Linked DNA regions of Elephas maximus indicus. The protein of the gene in region 2 interacts with the protein of the main gene of each other region in a biochemical or structural test. Links are inferred from orthologs where the notes say so. Each region holds a gene or a part of one and is shown on either strand. Other genes may lie near its edges.

The links.
Region 1: the proteins of COPB1 (region 2) and ARCN1 form a complex in vitro, tested with the Homo sapiens proteins (2 studies listed by BioGRID). The link is inferred for Elephas maximus indicus from reciprocal best matches to the Homo sapiens genes COPB1 and ARCN1.

What each region holds. Positions count from the first base shown.
Region 1 is NC_064835.1:11,059,247-11,068,872, reverse strand, and holds the start of ARCN1 (coatomer subunit delta), read right to left. Parts: upstream 3,933-9,626; 5' UTR 3,768-3,932; coding exon 3,765-3,767; intron 1-3,764. UniProt on the Homo sapiens protein: Component of the coatomer, a cytosolic protein complex that binds to dilysine motifs and reversibly associates with Golgi non-clathrin-coated vesicles, which further mediate biosynthetic protein transport from the ER, via the Golgi up to the trans Golgi network.
Region 2 is NC_064825.1:69,832,158-69,841,809, forward strand, and holds the start of COPB1 (coatomer subunit beta), read right to left. Parts: upstream 3,990-9,652; 5' UTR 3,872-3,989; intron 3,173-3,871; 5' UTR 3,121-3,172; coding exon 3,030-3,120; intron 982-3,029; coding exon 752-981; intron 306-751; coding exon 136-305; intron 1-135. Other genes in the region: PSMA1 (proteasome subunit alpha type-1), read right to left, coding at 8,844-8,900. UniProt on the Homo sapiens protein: The coatomer is a cytosolic protein complex that binds to dilysine motifs and reversibly associates with Golgi non-clathrin-coated vesicles, which further mediate biosynthetic protein transport from the ER, via the Golgi up to the trans Golgi network.

The DNA.
Region 1 (9,626 bases), on a different chromosome or scaffold from region 2:
ACCACTGCACCACCACAAGCAGATGGCAAATCAATGTAAATTCAAGAAAATCTTTTTCATTCTTGCTATTCCTTCAAATAACAAGTTAAAAAAAGATACATAAAGAACAGCTGTACAGCTGCTGTACTGTTTATGAAGAAGGCAAAAAATAATAATTGCTTAATTGGGATCTGTTATTATTGTGCAAAGGAGCCTTGGTGGCACAGTGGGTTAAGCACTTGGCTGCTAACCGAAAGGTCAGCAGTTCAAACCGACCAGACGGTCGTGGTTATTACTATGCAAGACTTCAGTTTCTCCCCCCAGCAGGTGCAGATTACCCATTTGTTGTTGTTGGGTGCCACTGAGTTGATTCAACTCATAGTGACTCCATGTGACAGAGTACAGTGCAACGGGATTTTCTTGGCTGTATCTTTTTTTTTTAATTGTACTTTAGGCGAAACTTTACAGCTCAAGTTCATCCCTTATACTTTTTATACACATATTGTCATGTGACACTAGCTGCAATCCCTACAATACTCTCCTTTCCACCCAGGGTTTCCTGTGTCCATCCAGTCAGTTCCTGTCCCTTCCTGCCTTCTCATCCTGCCTCTGGCGTGGAGCCACCTATTTGGTCTCCTGTATCTGGTTGAACTAAGCAGCACACTCTTCACGAGTATTATTTATGTTTTATAGTCCAGTGTAATCCTTGTCTGAAGAGTGGGCTTCGGGAATGGTTTTAGTTCCAGGTTAATAGTTTCCGAGGGCCATGGCCTTGGGGGTTCCTCCAGTCTCAGTCAGACCGTAAGTCTAGTCTTTTTATGTGAGTTGAGTTCTGTTCCACACTTCTCCACCTCAGTCAGGGACTCTCTGTTGTGTTCCTTGGCAGAGCCTAGCACCAGGCTGATTGGCTGTAATCTTGACAGGAGCAGATAGCCAGGATTTTCTCTCGCAGCCGTTGGTGGGTTTCAACTGCCCACCTTTTGGTTAGCAGCCAAGTGCTTAACCATTACACCACCAGGGCACCGTTAGATTAGCTATGCAAGGCCCAAATCTAGCTTTCCAATAACTAATGACTTTTTGGAACTGAATCTACTATCATTTCTATTTAATGCAACCACCACCATAAGTGGTTTTAGGAACACTAGGGTCCTAATGAGTAAGTTTACTAGTAAGTTTACTCACTGCCTATTCTGAGCAAATAAGAAAAGAACAACACTCTGTAGATAAGCAAAGATTTCACAGATGGCTTGCTACCATTAAAGACTTAAATAACAACTTTATGCGTTCAAATGTAAGTTTATTAAGAAAAAGAACTGATTATAACATTATCTAATGTTAAGAATATTTTCTCACTAATTTGCAAAAAACTAGAAAAAAGATCCAATCAAAAGATCCCATTATTTCATTTTCTAACAGCCATCATAAGCCACCTGCTTTTGCATTTGTTCACCTATATACTCAGACTGTGTAGTCTAGGGCATTCTGCATATACTTCAGTAACTAAGGCCCAAACCAAAAACCAAACCAAACCCACTGCCGCTGAGTCGACTGGAGCAGAATTTCCAAGGAGGAGCTGGTGGACTTGAACTGCTGGCTTTTTGGTTAGCAGCTGAGCTCTTAACCAAGGCTCCAACTAAAGCCAAAAGAAACACTTATTTTTCAAAACCAACTTTTATGTGCAGATATCTGCACCTTACTTTGAAATGCAGAAAAAAAGATGCATGGAGGGATGATTAAATGTGTGATAAAACAAGGAGGGTAAAATGCTGGTTATAGAATCTAGCTGGCAGACATATGGGTGTTCACTGTAAAGCCCTTTCAACTTTTCTTATGTTTGAAAATTTTATAATAAAATGTTGAGGAAAAAAAAATCAACTTTTAGAAGTTTTGATAGAACTTTTAGTTCAAAGAAGTCCTAACAATACAAGGACAAAATTTTACCCTATTTGGATATTTTTACTGTCATAAAGGAGGAGGATTCAAAGACACTGCACAGAAATAATGCCAATGTCTTAGGACTCTACAGAGCAGAATGGACTGAGATTAAGTTGTTCTCCCGAATATACAAATATGTGGGTATCTGAATCATGCCAATTCCCAAATAATTCAGAAATATATGAATATTTAAACAGGTCACAACTGTATGTATGTACACATATGTCAAAATAACATATAAAATGTATACTTTATTGAGTATACAAAATGTATTTTTACAAAATCTGTACAAAATTGTATGCTCAATACCTACGGCTTTACCATTCCTCAGTTATTGGTGAATTAAAACTACTAAGTTCCAATGACCTTTTAACAAGCAAGGTTTTTATACAGATTATCTATATTTGATTTATATAATACAAGGCTTTAACTTTGCTATTAAAAGTATATGCTCTAAAACGCACTACAAATACTTCCAGTGCGTAAAAGGAAAAGGAGTTTAAAAATCACTGTCTGGATACTAAGCCTCCTAGTAGAATTGAAAAAAAAAAAAAAAAAGTTTTTGGATATTTTGTGTGTAACACAAAAGTTCTATGAATCAAACCTTTCAGTGGTTTAAAACCCAAGCATGAATCCCAACACCACCCAGGTTTTCACCTAAAAAATTGTTGATAGCACTTACTATGAATAGCACCAAATTATACTGCCATCCTCAAGGAGTTAGGAAGATGCTTTAAAGCAAATTATTAATCTATTGGCAAAAAAAGAATTAAAAAAAAAAAAAAAAGAACGCCCTTTAAAAGACTGAAAGGCATAAGGTGCCCTAAAAAATTCTTCAGTAGCTTGTTTGGAACAGACTAATTTCTTCTACTTCATCAATGTCCACAAATCAGTAGTGATAAAGCAAGATTCAGTGGAATCAACATTGTCGTGTTTTGTCCTATTCTCACCTGCATTAATTTTTTCCATCTCTACAATGGATGAGAGCACAAAGATAATGCAACTAAAGGCTATGTAACAGGTCTCAGCGTAAGGCCCACCCAGCCCTTTACCCCTTGTCCTGTGAGACATCTAATCAATCATAAGCCACGTACATATTTTCTTCACCTGAACAATAAATGCCTTGAAGACAGAAATCCTGTCTTCCGGTAACTGACTGACATTTCCCCAGCGTACGCTCAGTCACAAAGACAAATGGATACAAGCAGGTTCTATAAAAGTGGTCGAAGTTTTCAGGAGCCCTAACCAAAAACCAAACCCAACCCAGTGCCGTCGAGTCGATTCCGACTCACAGGATCCTACAAATTAGTGTTAGAAGTTACTCCTCCCCGGTCTATGCCATTTCCCCCAATCGGACAAACCAAAGTCCTGAACACCAACCCATTTGTATTTCTACATCAATGGCCTATCAAACACCAGGGATGAGAGACAAGCTGAACACAGAAGGAAGAGAAGCCCCCTCAGGAGAGGCCTATGCTGCTGAGCCGAAGCGTCCACGGAAGCGACCCGGCAGTAGCGCCGAAGTCCGCAGCGCAGAGCCCAGAGGACATCGACGACAAGGTCCTCGCAGAGCCAAGACCCTGCCCCGTCCGAGCTGCCGGGTCTAGAGAAGAGTCCAGCCGGTTGGGGTGTGGGGAGGGTGCGACCACAGAGGGACTGGCGTCAACTCCCTCGGGCCTCCCGGAGGCCAAGAGCGGGGGTAGGCCACACCGCTGCCCGAGCCCGAGGAGGGCGCCTGGCTCGAGGCCCTAGGGGCGCGGCTCCTCTGGTCCCCGTACCAGCCCGGCCGGCAGTGAGAGGGGGCGAGTGAGGCCCAGACCCCGAGAGTTCGAGCCCGGCTTGGGTCTTACCATGGTGACGGCGGTGGTGGGGCGCACCCACGCTCCGGCTGCACTGGGCAGAGGGCTGGGGTTAGGGGAAGGGGAGCACCGGCCGCTCCGGACCTGCCGCCCCCCTGACAGGAGCCGCCGCCGCTTCGCTTCTTGCCAAGATGGCGGTCCCGAGCCACGTCTCCAACCGGAAACGGCGCGGGTCAAAGGACGGAGGGCGGGGCTTGGTGGGGTGGGGAAATTGAGGATACCCGGCTGCAAGCCCCACGCGCAGGTTACGTCCCGGCTCGCCTGCAGACGTGGAACTTGCATACATCTGTCTTTTCACTGTTTGTTATCGCCTCAGTTTGAGTCACCTCTGAAACATTTTATAAAGCCGCTCTCATAGACACTATATAATTTAATATTCAAAATAACCCATGTGCACAAGGCGCTAGTATCCAAAATATATAAAGAATTCTTATAACTCAACAATAAAAAGACAACACAATTTAAAAATGGGCAAAAGGTTTGAAGAGACATTTCTTCAAAGAAGAGATACAAATGGCCAATAAGCACATGAAAAGGTGCTCCATATCTATAGTCATTAGTGAAATGTACATCAAAACCACAACTAGCTATGACTTCACCCCTACTAGAATGGTTACATTAAGAAAGATGGACAATAGCAAGTGTTGTGGAGGATATGGAGAAATTAAAATCCTCCTACAATGATGGCTTTGAATTATTATGTAGGCAAAGAATATTGAATGTACCATGGATTGCCAGAAGAACAAACAAATCTGTCTTGGAAGAAGTACAGCCAGAATGCTCCTTAGGAGCAAAGATGGCAAGACTTTGTCTCACGTACTTTGGACATGTTATCAGGAGGGACCAGTCCCTGGAGAAGGACATCATGCTTGGTAAAATAAACCAAAACCCATTGCCATCGAGTTGATTCTGACTCATAGTGACCGTATGGTAAAGTAGAGGGTCAGTGCTGAATGATATGGAGTGACACAGTGGCTACAACAATGGACTCAAACATAGCAACAATTGTGAGGGTGGAGCAGGACTGGGCAGTGTTTCCTTCTCTTGTATGTAGGGTCAGTCTGAGTTCGAATCAACCCCACAGCACCTAACAACAACACCACCACACATTGCTAGTTGGAATATAAAATAGGGTAGCTGCTTTGGAAAACAGGTCCTCAAAAAGTTAAACAGAGTTACCATGTGATCCAGCAATTCCATCATATGTCCACACAAAAATTTGTACACTAATGTTCATGGCATCATATAGCCCAAAAGTGGAAAACCCCAAATGTCCATTAACTGATAATTGGGTAAAAAAAGTGACATATCCATACAATGGAATATTATTCAGCCGCAAAAAGGTATGAAGTACTGATACATGCTACAGCATGGCTGAACTTTGGAAATATACTGAGTAAAAAAAGCCAGGCACAAAATAGCCACTTATTGTATGATTCCATTTGTATGACATGTCCAGAATAAACAAATTCATAGAGACAGAAAGTAGATTAGTGGTTGCAAGAGGTGGGAGTGAGGTGAGATGGGGGTGGAGACTGGGAATTAATGCTGATGGGTACAAGATTTGAATGAAAATGTCCCAGAATTAGGTAACAGATGGCGGCTGCACAACCTTGCCAAATATACTAAAAATCATTGAATTGTACGCTTTAAAATGGTGAGGTTTTTCTTGTGTGTGTGCGTGTGCTTTAGGTGAAAGTTTATAGAGCGAATTAATTTCTCATTTGTTTTGTGACATTGGTGGCCAACCCCAAGATGTACCAACACTCTCCGCTTCTCCATCCTGGGTTCCCCATTTCCATTCATCCAATTTTCCGGTCCCTTCCTGCCCTCTGTCTTTGTTTTTGGGCTGGTGTGCGCATTTAGTCTGGTACATGTGATTGAACAGAACAAGAGGATACTGATCGGTTTAAAGTCAGGAAAGGTGTGCGTCAGGGTTGTATTCTTTCACCACACCTATTTAATCTGTGTGCTGAACAAATAATACGAGAAGCTGGACTATATGAAGAAGAACGGGGCATCAGGATTGGAGGAAGACTCATTAACAACCTGCGTTATGCAGGTGACACAACCTTGATTGCTGAAAGTGAAGAGGACCTGAAGCACTTACTAATGAAGATCAAAGACCACAGCCTTCAGTATGGATTACACCTCAACATAAAGAAAACAAAAATCCTCACAACTGGGCCAATGAGTAACATCGTGATAAATGGAGAAAAGATTGAAGTTGTCAAGGATTTCATTTTACTTGGATCCACAATCAGCAGCCATGGAAGCAGCAGTCAAGAAATCAAAGGACACATTGCATTGGGTAAATCTGCTGCAAAGGACCTCTTCAAAGTGTTGAAGAGCAAAGATGTCACCCTGAAGACTAAGGTGCGCCTGACCCAAGCCATGGTATTTTCGATGGCATCACATGCATGTGAAAGCTGGACAACGAATAAGGAAGACCGAAGAAGAGTTGACGCTTTTGAATTGTGGTGTTGGCGAAGAGTATTGAATACACCATGGACTGCCAAAAGAACGAACAAATCTGTCTTGAAAGAAGTGTGGCCAGAATGCTCCTTAGAAGCAAGGATGGCGAGACTGCGTTTTACATACTTTGGACATGTTGTCAGGAGGGATCAGTCCCTGAAGAAGGACACAATGCTTGGCAGAGTACAGGGTCCGCAGAAAAGAGGAGGACCCTCAACGAGGTGGATTGACACAGTGGCTGCAACAACGAGCTCAAGCATAACAACGATTTTGAGGATGGCGCAGGACCGGGCAGTGTTTCGTTCTGTTGTGCATAGGGTTGCTATGAGTCGGAACCGACTGGGCGGCACCTAACAACAACAATGTGATTGTACTACGAAGCACTTTCCTCGAATGTGTTATTGTTTACTCTATAAACCAAACCTGTTGTCACTGAGTCGATTCCAACGCCTAGTAACCCTAAGGACAGAGTAGAACTGCCCCATAGGGTTTCCAAGGAGCACCTGGTGGATTCGAACTGCTGACCTTTTGGTTAGCAGCAGTAGCTCTTAACCACTATGCCACCAGAGCTGAAAGGTGAACCTCAGGAGTGACTTCAGTACTGGGTTAAAAAGGTGTCAGAGGCCATAGTCTCAGGGGGTTCGCCAGTCTCTGTCAGACCAGCAAATCTGGTCTTTTTTGTGAATTTGAATTTTGTTCTACATTCTTCTCCTTCTCTATCCAGGACACTCTATTGTGATCCCTGTCAGAGTAGTCTGTGGTGGTAGCTGGGTACCATCTAGTAGTTCTGGGCTTAGTTTGCTGGAGGTTATGGTAGTTGTTGTCCATTAGTCCTTTGTACTAATCTTTCCCTGTGTCTTCAGTTTTCTTCATTCTCCATTGCTCCAGCCAAGATGGAACCAATAGATGTATCTTTCATGGCCGCTTGCAGTCTTTTAAGACCCCAGACACTTCTCACCACAGTCAGATGTAAACATTTTCTTTATAAACTATGTTATGCCAATTGAGCTAGATGTCCCCTGAGACTATGGTCCCCACCCTCAGCCCAGTAACTTGGTCCCTCAGAGAGTTTGGATGTATCTGTGAAGCTTCTATGTCTTTGCCTTGGTCAAGTTGTACTGACTTCCCCAGTATTGCGTACTGTTTTACCCTTCCCCAAAGTTACCACTTATCTATTATCTAGTCAGTGTTTTTCCCTCCCCACCTCTCCCCTCCCTCAGAACCATCAAAGATTGTTTTGTTTGTTTTTTTCTGCACGTAAACCTTTTCTTGAGTTTTTATAATAGTGGTCTTCTACAATATTTGTCCTTTTGTGATTGACTTATTTCAGTCAGCTTAATGCCCTCCAGATTCATCCATGTTATGAAATGTTTCGAGGATTCATCATTGTTCTTTATCATTGGGTAGTACTCCATTGTGTGTATGTACCATAATTTGTTCACTCATCCATTGATGGGCATTTAGGTTGTTTTCATCTGTTTGTTATTGTGAAAATGCTGCAATGAACATGGGTGTGCATAGTCATGTGACAGCTCTTATTTCTCTAGGATATATTCCTAGGAGTAGAACTTCTGGATCATACAGTATCTCTATTTATAGCCTTTTAGTGAGGTGCCCTATCATTTTCCATAGTGGTTGTACCATTTTACATTCCTACTAGCAGTGCGTAAGAGTTGAAGTCTCCCCAAAACCTCTCCAACATTTGTTATTTTCTGTTTTTTTTTTTTTTTAAATTAGTGCCAGTAATGTCGGGGTGAGATAGTATCTCATTTCAGTTTTGATTTGTATTTCTCTGATGGCTACTGATCTCGAGCATTCCCTCCTGTGTCTGTTACTCACCTGAATGTCTTCTGTGGTGAAGTGTCTGTTCATATTCTTTGCCCATTTTTTACATTGGGTTATTAGTCTGTTTTCTTTTTTTTTAGATGAAGGTTTAGAGAACAAACTAGCTTCTCATTAAACAGCTAGTACACATATTGTTTTATGACATTGGTTAACAGCCCCACAACATGTCAACACTCTCCCTTCTCGATCTTAGGTTCACTATTACCAGTTTTCCTGCCCCTTCCTACCTTCTAGTCATTGCCCCTGGGCTGGTCTCATTTTGCTTTATGGGCCTGTCTAATCTTTGGCTAAGGGGTGAACCTCAGGATTGCCTTAATTATTGAGCTAAAAGGGTGTGCAGGGGCCATACTCTAAGTTTCTAGTAAACCTGGTCTTTTTTGTGTGAGTTAGAATTTTCTTCTACATTTTTCTCCAGCTCTATCTGGGACCCTCTGTTGTTATCCCTGTCAGAGCAGTCAGTGGTGGTAGCCAGGCACCTCCTAGTTGCACTGGAATCATGGTAGTGATGATCCCTTAGTCCTTTGGACTAATCTTTCCCTTGTATCTTTAGTTTTCTTAATTCTCCCTTGCTCCCAACTGAGTGAGACCAGTGGAGTATCTTAGATGGCTGCTCACAGCTTTTAAGATCCCAGACGCTACTCCCCAATGCAGAATATACAACATTTTCTTTATAAACTATGTCATGCTCTTACCGAAACCCCTACCTCAGTCGAACCCAACCAGATTCACACCACCTAGTAAGACTAGTGAGACAGCCTGGAGTCACACCAGCAAATTTATTTTGCCAGCAGCTAGCAAAAGGAGACAGTAAGGGCTAGAACCTTCAGAGCGACTGTCTCCCTAATTTGCCTAAGAGCCAGGTATTTAAGGGTTTCAACAACTAGGGGTCTTGGTGTTTATTCATGACGTTTTCAGGGAAAGGGCAGAGATTTTTGAGAAGGGACTGAGTTATGTAAATGCGGGTGCGCACACAGGATTTCTTCAGGATGGAAGCCCTTTGGCTCCCCTTGACATGACTCATTGGGATGTGACACCAGTGCACTGGTTCCCTTCGTCACATTGCCCCTCCAGTGGGCCAGGGAAGGTCAAACAGCAGTCGCTATTACTTCTTTTGTGCATGCTCTGCACCTGTGGAGACCTGCAAGAGCTACATCAACAGTTTATTTGCAACATCCTAGAATATTTCAGTTAATTTCACCCCACAGCTGGAACATTTAACCCCACAGGGCCTGTGTGTTCTGTTCTAATCTCCAGGAGGTAGGTTATGGTTGCACCACTGCCAGTAGGTCGGGCTGTTTATTCTATAGTCTGTCCTGTTTGACCTTCTCCCAGCCTATGTGCCAGGGGCCCAAGTGGCCCTGCTCTAGCCTAATCCTGTCTCATTCGCCTCTGAGAGATTTCATAAAAAAAAAAAAAAAAAAAATTTTTTTTTTTTAAGTCTTTAGGAGAGAGTGAGGATGGAGATCTCTTCTTCTGTAACTGCTTCAAGATGACATTTGGTTGTTCGCCTGCCTAAAGGAGTAGAAATCTCTC
Region 2 (9,652 bases):
TAAAAACATACTGTGTAGGCCAAACGAAACATATCTGCAAGCTGCATATAGCTTACGAGCAGTAACTCTGGAACCCCTGGTCTAAAAGACTAAACGGTCCTCACAAAGCAAAGTCAAGGGAATACCTTCATTTACCTGTAGATAGTATAGATGGCCAAAACAGCATTTCTTCTAACATAGCTGTGTCGATGCTCCAAACAAGCACGAATAGCTGGCATTAAAGGTTCTAACAACTCTGCTTCTTTCAATTTGCAGAGAAAACGAAGAGTAGATCCTCTAATAAACTCATTAGGATGCTGAAGATCCTGATATAAAAATTTAAATATGAAATGGTGAGTTTTGGCTTTTTACAAAATAAAACTCCACTTTTTAAATAGAAAAATTTCCATTGAAAAAATCAGAACATAGGTTTGAGGAAAAAGACCTACATTATCAGACAGCTTCCTTCAGATTCCTGTCGATTAAAGCGGTTTTTACCTATGTTATCAATGTCTTCTATTCTATGTGTCACTGTTTTTTATTAATAACACATATACATAAAAATACATAGAAAAAACAATTAGAACATTTTACAGTAACTATAACTTTCATATATAAAAACATTTTAAACAATTTCGATTATCTGCAACTTACCATTTTATTCAAGATTTAATTTTAAAAATTAAAACAAAGTATATTTGATTTTAGATAATTTTATAATTATCTAAAATCAAAGCAATATTCAGAAATAATTATACATTGGCTGGTTTACCTTTCTATATGCATCACAAACAAGGATCATTTCATGTAAAAGTCTCCCATCTGGAGTTGTTTTAGGAACAATTTCCCAAAACACCAGGAGTAATTTTTTGATGGTGTGATCCTGAAGTGGGAGCACAAAACGAATGATTGTCATCAGAAGTCCAGGAAGCTTTTCACCATTCAGAATCATTATGATTACTTTCTTCAAAGCTTCAGTCTTTGACTTCACATCTCCTTTTTCTAATTCAAAAATTAAAAATGAAACAAAAAACACAATTATTTTGAAAGAAAATTCCTCAAATAATTTTAAAAGCAATTAAGAAAACATTTTACTTTGTTAGAGACAACGGTCATAAAGGTACTGACCCAAGGGATATGGGTTATCTACCTTGCTTTGCCACGAATAGGCTGTGTATCTCGGCACAAGTTATTTATCTCTGAACCTCAGATTCTTTAAATAAAATATGAAGACACTGATCAGCTCTCTAGTCCCTAATCAATGGGCCATGCAGAGTCCATGAATCTACAGGAATACCGGGAATATATGTCTCAAACACACATGTGGTTATTTTTCAAAATGTATATAGATGCTGTTATGTTAAGTGCTTCTGAATTCAACGCAGTTTTTTTACCAGTGTACTATCTCAAAGTTGCAACCATTACTAACAGGGGAAAATAATACATACGGATTAAAAGTAATGAGATTCAAAGTAAAAGGTAAATAGTTAAAGCAACCCAATATTTCACCAAACAAAAATATATTTGTTACTCAATACTAGAAACTTGCCCTAAAATTCTTTCTCATCTCAATTATCTGAGCTAAAGGAAATAAAAAACACAAAATTTGAGACTACTTATTTATTTATGGGTTGGGGAGGGTAGTTAAGGCAGATGGAATTAAGGATATTATTCCAATTCCAAGCAAGATTTTGTTCTTTACCAGTCCAGCTATAACTTTAAGCATTCTAGGCATCTAGTGATGAAAACTTTTACTACCAAACGTGAATGGTTAAAAAAAAAAAAAAAATGTGACTTTTGTGTATAATGGTATCAGTTTAAGTGTCATAAAAGACGGTTTCTTTTCCCGAAAAATAACCCAAAAAACCAAACCCAGTGCCGTCGAGTCAATTCTGACTCACAGCGACCCTATAGGACAAAGTAGAACTGCCCCATAGTTTCCAAGGAGCACCTGGCGGATCTGAACTGCCGACCTTTGGTTAGCAGCTATAGCACTTAACCACTATGCCACCAGGGTTTCCTCCCTAAAAACAGACTGCAATTAAAGAAAAAAAAAAACACTGCCCTCGAGTGGATTTCAACTCATAGTGACCCTACGGGACAGAGCAGGACTGTCCTGTAGAGTTTCCAGTGAGTGTCTGGTGGATTTGAACTGCCAACCTTTTGGTTAGCAGCTGTAGCTCTTAACCAGTATACGCCACGAGGATATCCAGATTGCAACAGAAATCTAATATAAAGTAGCCTAAAATTAGGAGATATTCCACTACTGCTGAGTAAAAGGTGGAAATAAGCCAGTAAAATATTAAGTCTTTTATCAAACTGCAAACTACATTCTGAAAGATACCTTCAGGTTTTGAAATATAATTTTCACTCTACTGTTTGGTAGTTATCAGTTTAAGATATATGTGTTTAGTAGTTCAATTAAACAAGGATCATTACCTTAGAATGTGCATTACTTCTCAAAATTTTTTTTCTTTATGGACTCACTCACAAATAGGAAACAGTATATACTTTTAGGTTTGTGTTTTCTTCTGTGCAGAATACTTTTTAAAAGGAAAAGCTTAACCTTTCTGGGAAATACATTTTTATTCCATTATTGACTTTATTGGTTCAGCAAGTGGGAAACCCACAGAATAAAGTCCTTTTGGTTTTATAATTCAAGTGACGTGTAGTTTAATTTCCCAAAGGAATTAAGACATTCAAATACACATTATCAGCCTATTATCTACAGACCACTGCCTGATACATTTAAGTATAATATGCTTAACTGCATAAGGCTATTATGTTATTTTGAGGAATATCTAACAACTAAACCATTATGTTTCTTTAGCTTTTACTAAACTGAAATGTTCTACTTCAAAATCCAATATTGCAAGTCTAAAGGTCACAACTTTTCATTTTAAATAAGACAAAAGGTCTACCAAAGAGATTCTACAACGAAATATTCAGACAAAATTAAGCATTTCTAATTATAAAGGAACTTAGAACGCAAATTAGTTTTCACTATCCTTTCTTTTCCATTTCATTTTCAAAATATTACTAAAATTCACCTAGATCATTCTTTAAGCTAATTTCCGATGGTGGTTCTGAATCCATTGGCACGTTAATTAACGTATAGCACACGTTCTCAGCAGCTGTCATGATTTCAGGTTATAATCGACCCTCGATACAAAATTTAAAGAAGGTAGAAAATCTAGAAAAATAAATACAGGATATCATTACACTGTAAAAAACAAAAACAATAACTACTGTGATCTTTACTGTCTAAAGTTCATTTAGTTTGGCTTATAACTTTAAAATATTAAAAGGGGAAGTCAATCTATACTGTGTTTCCATAAAACAAGTCCTAATATAATACAAAACGCACCTGTCAGCCCCAGCCTGTTTATTATCCCCCCCCCCCCCCCCACGGCTTGAGAATGCTGTACTGCAGAATTAAGGTCCACAATATATTGCCAGTCCTCTAGTTCCATCTCACCAACTCACAAACAGTGATTTTTTACATTTTATACAATAGACCTGTTCACGTTAAGAGCCCCTGTACACGAACACTACATCAAAATCTTAAAGCACTTAATCGCTTCTGTCGGTCCCTCAATCCCTGCGCTGCACCCCCGCCCCCACCCCACGCCCCCTTTTTCTTTTCCTCCTGCAAAGCAGATTCTGGCTTGAAAGGGCGAACTTCGGGGTCCTAGGGAGAAGACCCCCGGCCAGTAAGCAAACCGGGATGAGGCGTTCGGTCCAGAGCTCCCCAGCCCCCCGTTCCCCTTCGCAAGGCCCCGACCCGAGCGGCCTAGTCGCTCCCCTTCCGCATCTTCCTGCTAGAAAGCCAGTTCTTCCAGCTCTGTCCGGCCCTCCACGCCTCCAGGGTTGGGGGCCAGTGGCCTGCTACCTGGCTTTGAGGGGCAGCAGCTGGGGCAACGGCGGGACCGTCTATTCCGGTTCCAAACCGCGGCAGCGGCGGCAGCTCCCGAGTCCTTGGCTGACGTGGAAGAGGGCGGGGAGGCGGTCCAGGCCGCAGCCACCTAGCACCTACGGCAGCCCAGAGAGGACATGCCTTCTCCGTCCTGCAGATGCGCGCCGCAAGTGGGTCCGGCTCTAGCCCCCGCCCCTTGTCCGCGGATGATTCAGGTCGCCGAGAGTGGTAGCAGATACTTTGAGTTTTCCCTACAAGCAAAGCTAAACCGAGCGCTATGGTCACTTAAACGCTACTTGGAAATTGTTTCTTTTTCCGGGAAGTGTAATAGCCAAGTGCTAGATAGGGGAGATATTTTACAAGGTTTTGTGGTCCGGTGGATAAAGCTCTGAACTGGGAACTGGAAGCCCAAGAGTCTTTTCTAACTCACCCATTAATTAGAGGGAAACTAATTACTATTTGGGATAGTAACTCCAGTTCTTCTAATAAGAAACACTAGATTTTCTCGAAAATCCATTTCGGCTCTTAAAATGTACTCTGGATCTTAGCCTCTGCATTTGGGCTAGAGTAGCTTGAACATCAAAATCCCATTGATAATGTTTCTGCTCTCTTTATTTAGTAATAGTCCTTTTCGTAATCCCTTCCAAGCATCCAGTAGATTAAAATTATGGAAACTATGTATAACGTGGGACTGACAGTCAATATTTTAAAAATATTTTACCAATCTCCACAGATTGGTAGAGCTACGATCAGCCACAGCACTTTTGGTTTTGCTCGTTTGAGGTTCCTTTTTTTTTTTTACCCCGCCCCCCCCAAAAATTTTTCCCCGCAAATTGTTAACAAGTAAACATTGAGAGGCTTTTACAAAACATTCAAAGAGATTTGACAGAACCTGTCCTTGTAGTGCTGCATCTATCTAGAATCTGTCTATTTTGAGATTTCTCCTTTTGGAAACATTAAGCAAAAAATAAATTCTTTGAGCACCCAAAATATGTCACGAAGTCTATGTGTTCACTGCACTTTAATTACGAGTGCCCTCTGATGCTGTGTATTCATTTTTTTTTTTTAAGCTCTTTATCTTGAGATGATCCACATGTGGCTGTAAAATAACAGAGATCCCATATACCCTTCACCCGAATCCAGGAAGTTGGCTTTGATACAATCTACCCATCCTTATTGATTTCACCAGCTTTACATGCACTCATTTGTGTATTTAGTTCTATACACTTTTATCAAGTTTAGATTCATTTAACCACTACCACAGTCAAGATAGAGGAAAGTTCCATGACAAGGATCCCTCTTGGTACCCTTTCACAGCCAGTCACCTCCCCCTCTACCTTTGTCCCTAACCCGTCACAGCCACTAACATGTTCTCTATCTCTATAATTGTCATTTCAAGGATGTTATATAAATGGAATCATACAGTGTAACCTTTTGAGTCTATTTTGACTCAGCATAATTCCTTTGAGCTCCATCCAAGATGTATCAATAGTCCTTTCCTTTTCTGTGTATTTAACATAGAATCCTTACAAATGCAGTTATTTTGTCCCCAATCCTATTTGATTTGGCAACAAGTGACAGTCTGTCAGCAGAAAATTAGTGCTCCCCCCAAAAAACAAAACAAAACAAAACAAAAAACTAGACTCAGCAATAAGAAAGCTCAGGAGTTTGAAGCCACCTATAGTACAGAACCAACCATACCCACTTCAGATGCCCAAGGCTCATTTTGTTACAGAATAAAGCATGACATTTATCGAGGTGAGCCCTAGTCATTAAGGAAACTAAATATGAAAAGGCAAGAAAATGTAATATATCTTATAAAACTTTATTTTAGGTCTACACCTAAAGTTGGCTTGGACAGTGCATTTTTTTTTCCTTGAATACAGCCCTTGTCGAAGTTATCAGGACCTTATATGGCCTCGCTAATTCTTTTCCTGATACAACATGCACTTTGTTTTGAGACTTTTTATCCTAGCAAGTAATTACAGGATTTTGAATGCTTTTCTAGTTACAAATTATTTGAGAGCAAAGATCTTGTCATATTTCAAAAATCGTAATAATTTAGATGTCTAGGAAATTGACGCTTAGAGAGAAGTGACTCTCCCAAAAATCACAGTGGTTAAACACTGAAAAAGCTAGACCCAGAACCTGACCCTATTACCTACTTTAGTGCCTTTTATTTTTAACCATGCCAGTTCTTCAGAGCTGCACATATAAATGTTCACCAAATTCTTGGTGAACTGATTATCTTTACATCAAGGGGATAGGTTTTATGTATCATCTAATTGTTGACAGAGGGGACATTATCAGGAATTTTATTGTTTATAATTACTCAATACAGATTAAATAGAATAACTTTGAGTATTAACAGACTAGACACACAACACGAAAGGGCACCACAATGAATTTTGTACATATGGTATAGCTGAATATTATTGGGGTGGGGAGGATTTTAAGTTCTAGAGTCACTGGATAAGAACAAAATCACGTAGTATAAAAGATTACTAAAACTGCCCCTGAAGTACAATACAGATCACTGTTTTTTTTTTTTTTGTATTGTTTTCTTTTCAGCTGAGCACCGAAAAGTACAAAAAAAAAAAAAAAAACACAAAAGATGCACACACATATAGTCTTTATCTTTAAAAATAGAATCACTCAGCAAAGGCAGACACTCTCACAATGAAAGGCACAAGGGACATGAGACCTTGCTAAGGAAAAGAGATTATTAAACTTCCCACTTATACTCTTCTCCAGGCTGTAATCTCATTTTGGCAATGATGGCGGTGGAAAGAGTCCCTTTCCTTCACTAGTTATTTCTGTGTGTGTGTGTGAAAGTTGCACATGCTTGATGTTGGTTGTAGATCAAATGGCCACATGGTACCTGTGGCCTAGTCCCAAGCTTAAGTGGCAGACTGATAACCCTTGAGGCTACTTCTAGAGTAGAGGCCAACATCTCACCAATTCCAGTATAGTAAGAGGTCTTTCTCTCAGCAAGGCAGCCACTGATTCTCTCACCACACTCCCTTTAAGAAGTCAGAGACTTAAACTCACTAAAGTTTTTAAAATTTTGAGCAACCTGAAAAAAAAATTTAACATTTTACTAACTTTAGAGTTCACAAAACATTTTCACATAAATTCTCCTGTCTAATCTTCACAACCGAAACCCTTGTGGCATAGTGGTTAAGTGCTACCACTGCTTACCAAGAGGTCAGCAGTCAAATCCACCAGGTACTCCTTGGAAACTATGGGGCAGTTCTACTCTGTTCTATAGGATCTCTATGAGTTAGAATCGACTCGACAGCAGTGGGTTTTTTGTTTTAATCTTCGCAGTAATTCTCCAGGGTTTCCTTAAAATAGGGCTAAGTAACCTGCCCAAAGCCAATAGCAGCTAATTGGTAGAATTGGGATTAAAATCCAGGTTCCTATCTATAAACAAACATCTCCTCTCTAAAAAATGTAATATCTCAGAAAAAATAACTCCTCTATGCCTCTTGGCACAGTGGTTAAAGTGCTTGGCTGCTAACTAAAGGGTGGGTGGCTTGAAACCACCATTGGCTCAGTAGGAGAAAGATGTGGCAGTTTGCTTCCATAGAGACTTACAGCCTTGGAAACCCTATGGAGTTGGTATGAGTGGAATCTACTTGATGGCAGTGGGCAGTGGGTATGCCTCTTAGCCAGAGGCCTAATTGGGGGGGCGGTGGTCACAGGTAGGGTATGTGCCCTGGGTGGCCTGTGCTTGCCCTGGGCACCCGTTGAGGCAGAGGGACAGTTAGCAGTTTCTATTGGCCATCACAGATTCCATCGCAAGCTGAGAGATCATTCAGCAATTTAACACTAATTACCCTAGGTCCTATTTTTTGTAACTTTGCTTTTAGCAGCAAAAGTTTTGTATCGTTGATTTTTTCACAAAAGTCACATTTCCTCTAATTTGCAAAAAATATAAGTTATTCTGCAATATCTGGGTATGTAGCTCATAGGCAGGGATGGAGTACCTGATAAGCAAGGTTTAATTGTGCTTCTTTACTAATCTGTAGTGTACAATGTCACCTGGCTTTTGAAAACCAGTGAAACTGTGCACTACAGATTAGTAAGCACAATTAAGCCCCTGCATACCTTGCTTAATGTCCCTTGCTTACCGCAAGCTGGTGCATACCGTGCTTACTGGTTAATCTGCCCTGCTCATGGGAATGATGGGAAGGCAGTCCGAATACTATGCTGGAGTGGGGCTAGAAGGATGAGGAAATGATGGTTTTAGATTAAAATTTCCATTTTATTTTTGTACTAGTTGGCTACACTGAAATCAGAGCTATCACTACTGCCATCTGCTGGTTGAAAAGAAAAGCAGCTCATATGTTAATAATCTTGGTACATTTGTTAGGAAGTGGTAGTTTCTTAGGCTTTAATTAAGAATTTGTATTATGAACCATATATCCAGAGATTCTCATGCAGCCAGTCCATACATTGGGAAATTGTTTTAAGTCTGTGATAGATAGGAAGTATTATTTTTCCACATCACTAAAAAGAAGGTAATTTAATTTGGCAAACATGGCAAATACCAGTTGTAATCCCAGACTACTATTTACAGTTGAAGCTACTTAAAAAATAAACAAACAAAAATAAAATACCCAATACACCAGAAAGTGAAACAATTTTATTTCATAGTTGTCTTTGAAACCACAAAGACACTATGTTCTTCATATAAAAACATTAGTACAGGTACCCTATACTTTCTAGAAAATGATTATATAGGCCCTCTCAAAGAAAAAATGAACCCCATCACATGGTTTCAATTAGGTTGTTTGCAAAAAGCTCACATCTGGACTGATTCCTAAAACATACCATTCTACAACTCTGCATCTTTTGATTCTTAAAGTACAGATTACTGTCACCCAGTTCTCTTCCTGCATTCTTACATATTTGATGATACATATATAGACTGCTTTATCACTTAATGTTCCATCGGTTCATCAGCCTTTTCTGCAGGTTCATCAGAAGGTTGAGCAGGCTTAAGAGGGGAAGAAAAAAGAAAATATGTTAAAACAAACAAACAAAAAATACTTGCATGATCAACAGGTACTTCTAATCACAAATATTATAAGAATTATATAAAAATTATTTCTTAAATACTTTTTTTAAAAGGGGGTTGGGGATATTTCGGATATGCGATTTCAGTTCATTATCCTGCAAAATTTCTGAACAAAGGCTTTTCAAAATAGATATAATTACAGCTCTGAAAATCTAAATATCGTTGAATAATTCCAGCATTTTATCACACTTCACTCTTGCTCAAGAGTAGAGGCCTTCCTTATAGTATCACTATTAGCACTAAAATACAATCAGCACTTTTTGGATATTCTTACGCCCTCCACCACCAATCAACACAGCACAAATACCATCAAGTAAATCAGCTGTGTGGCACTCAACACCCTTCACAAACAACGATAGTTCACATAACCAACAGCAATTTAAATAATCCAAATAATACCAACAACATCCTTTTCAAGTTGAAAAAACTCATGCTGTAGAAGAAATTTCTGCACAGTATACTTTTTTATTTTCAATTATACAACTATCAAGTAAGCACCTATAAGTAGCAAGTGTGTATTCTAAACATCCACCAAGACCCCTATTTAACCTGAAGTTCACAAACACTTCCTGAACCTTTTTCTCAGTTTTTATGAAGAGCCAACTTAAGCATCCAAAGCTGGTTCTCAGCTAATCATTTCTCGTCTCCACCCAAATCAAATCTGGGCTAGC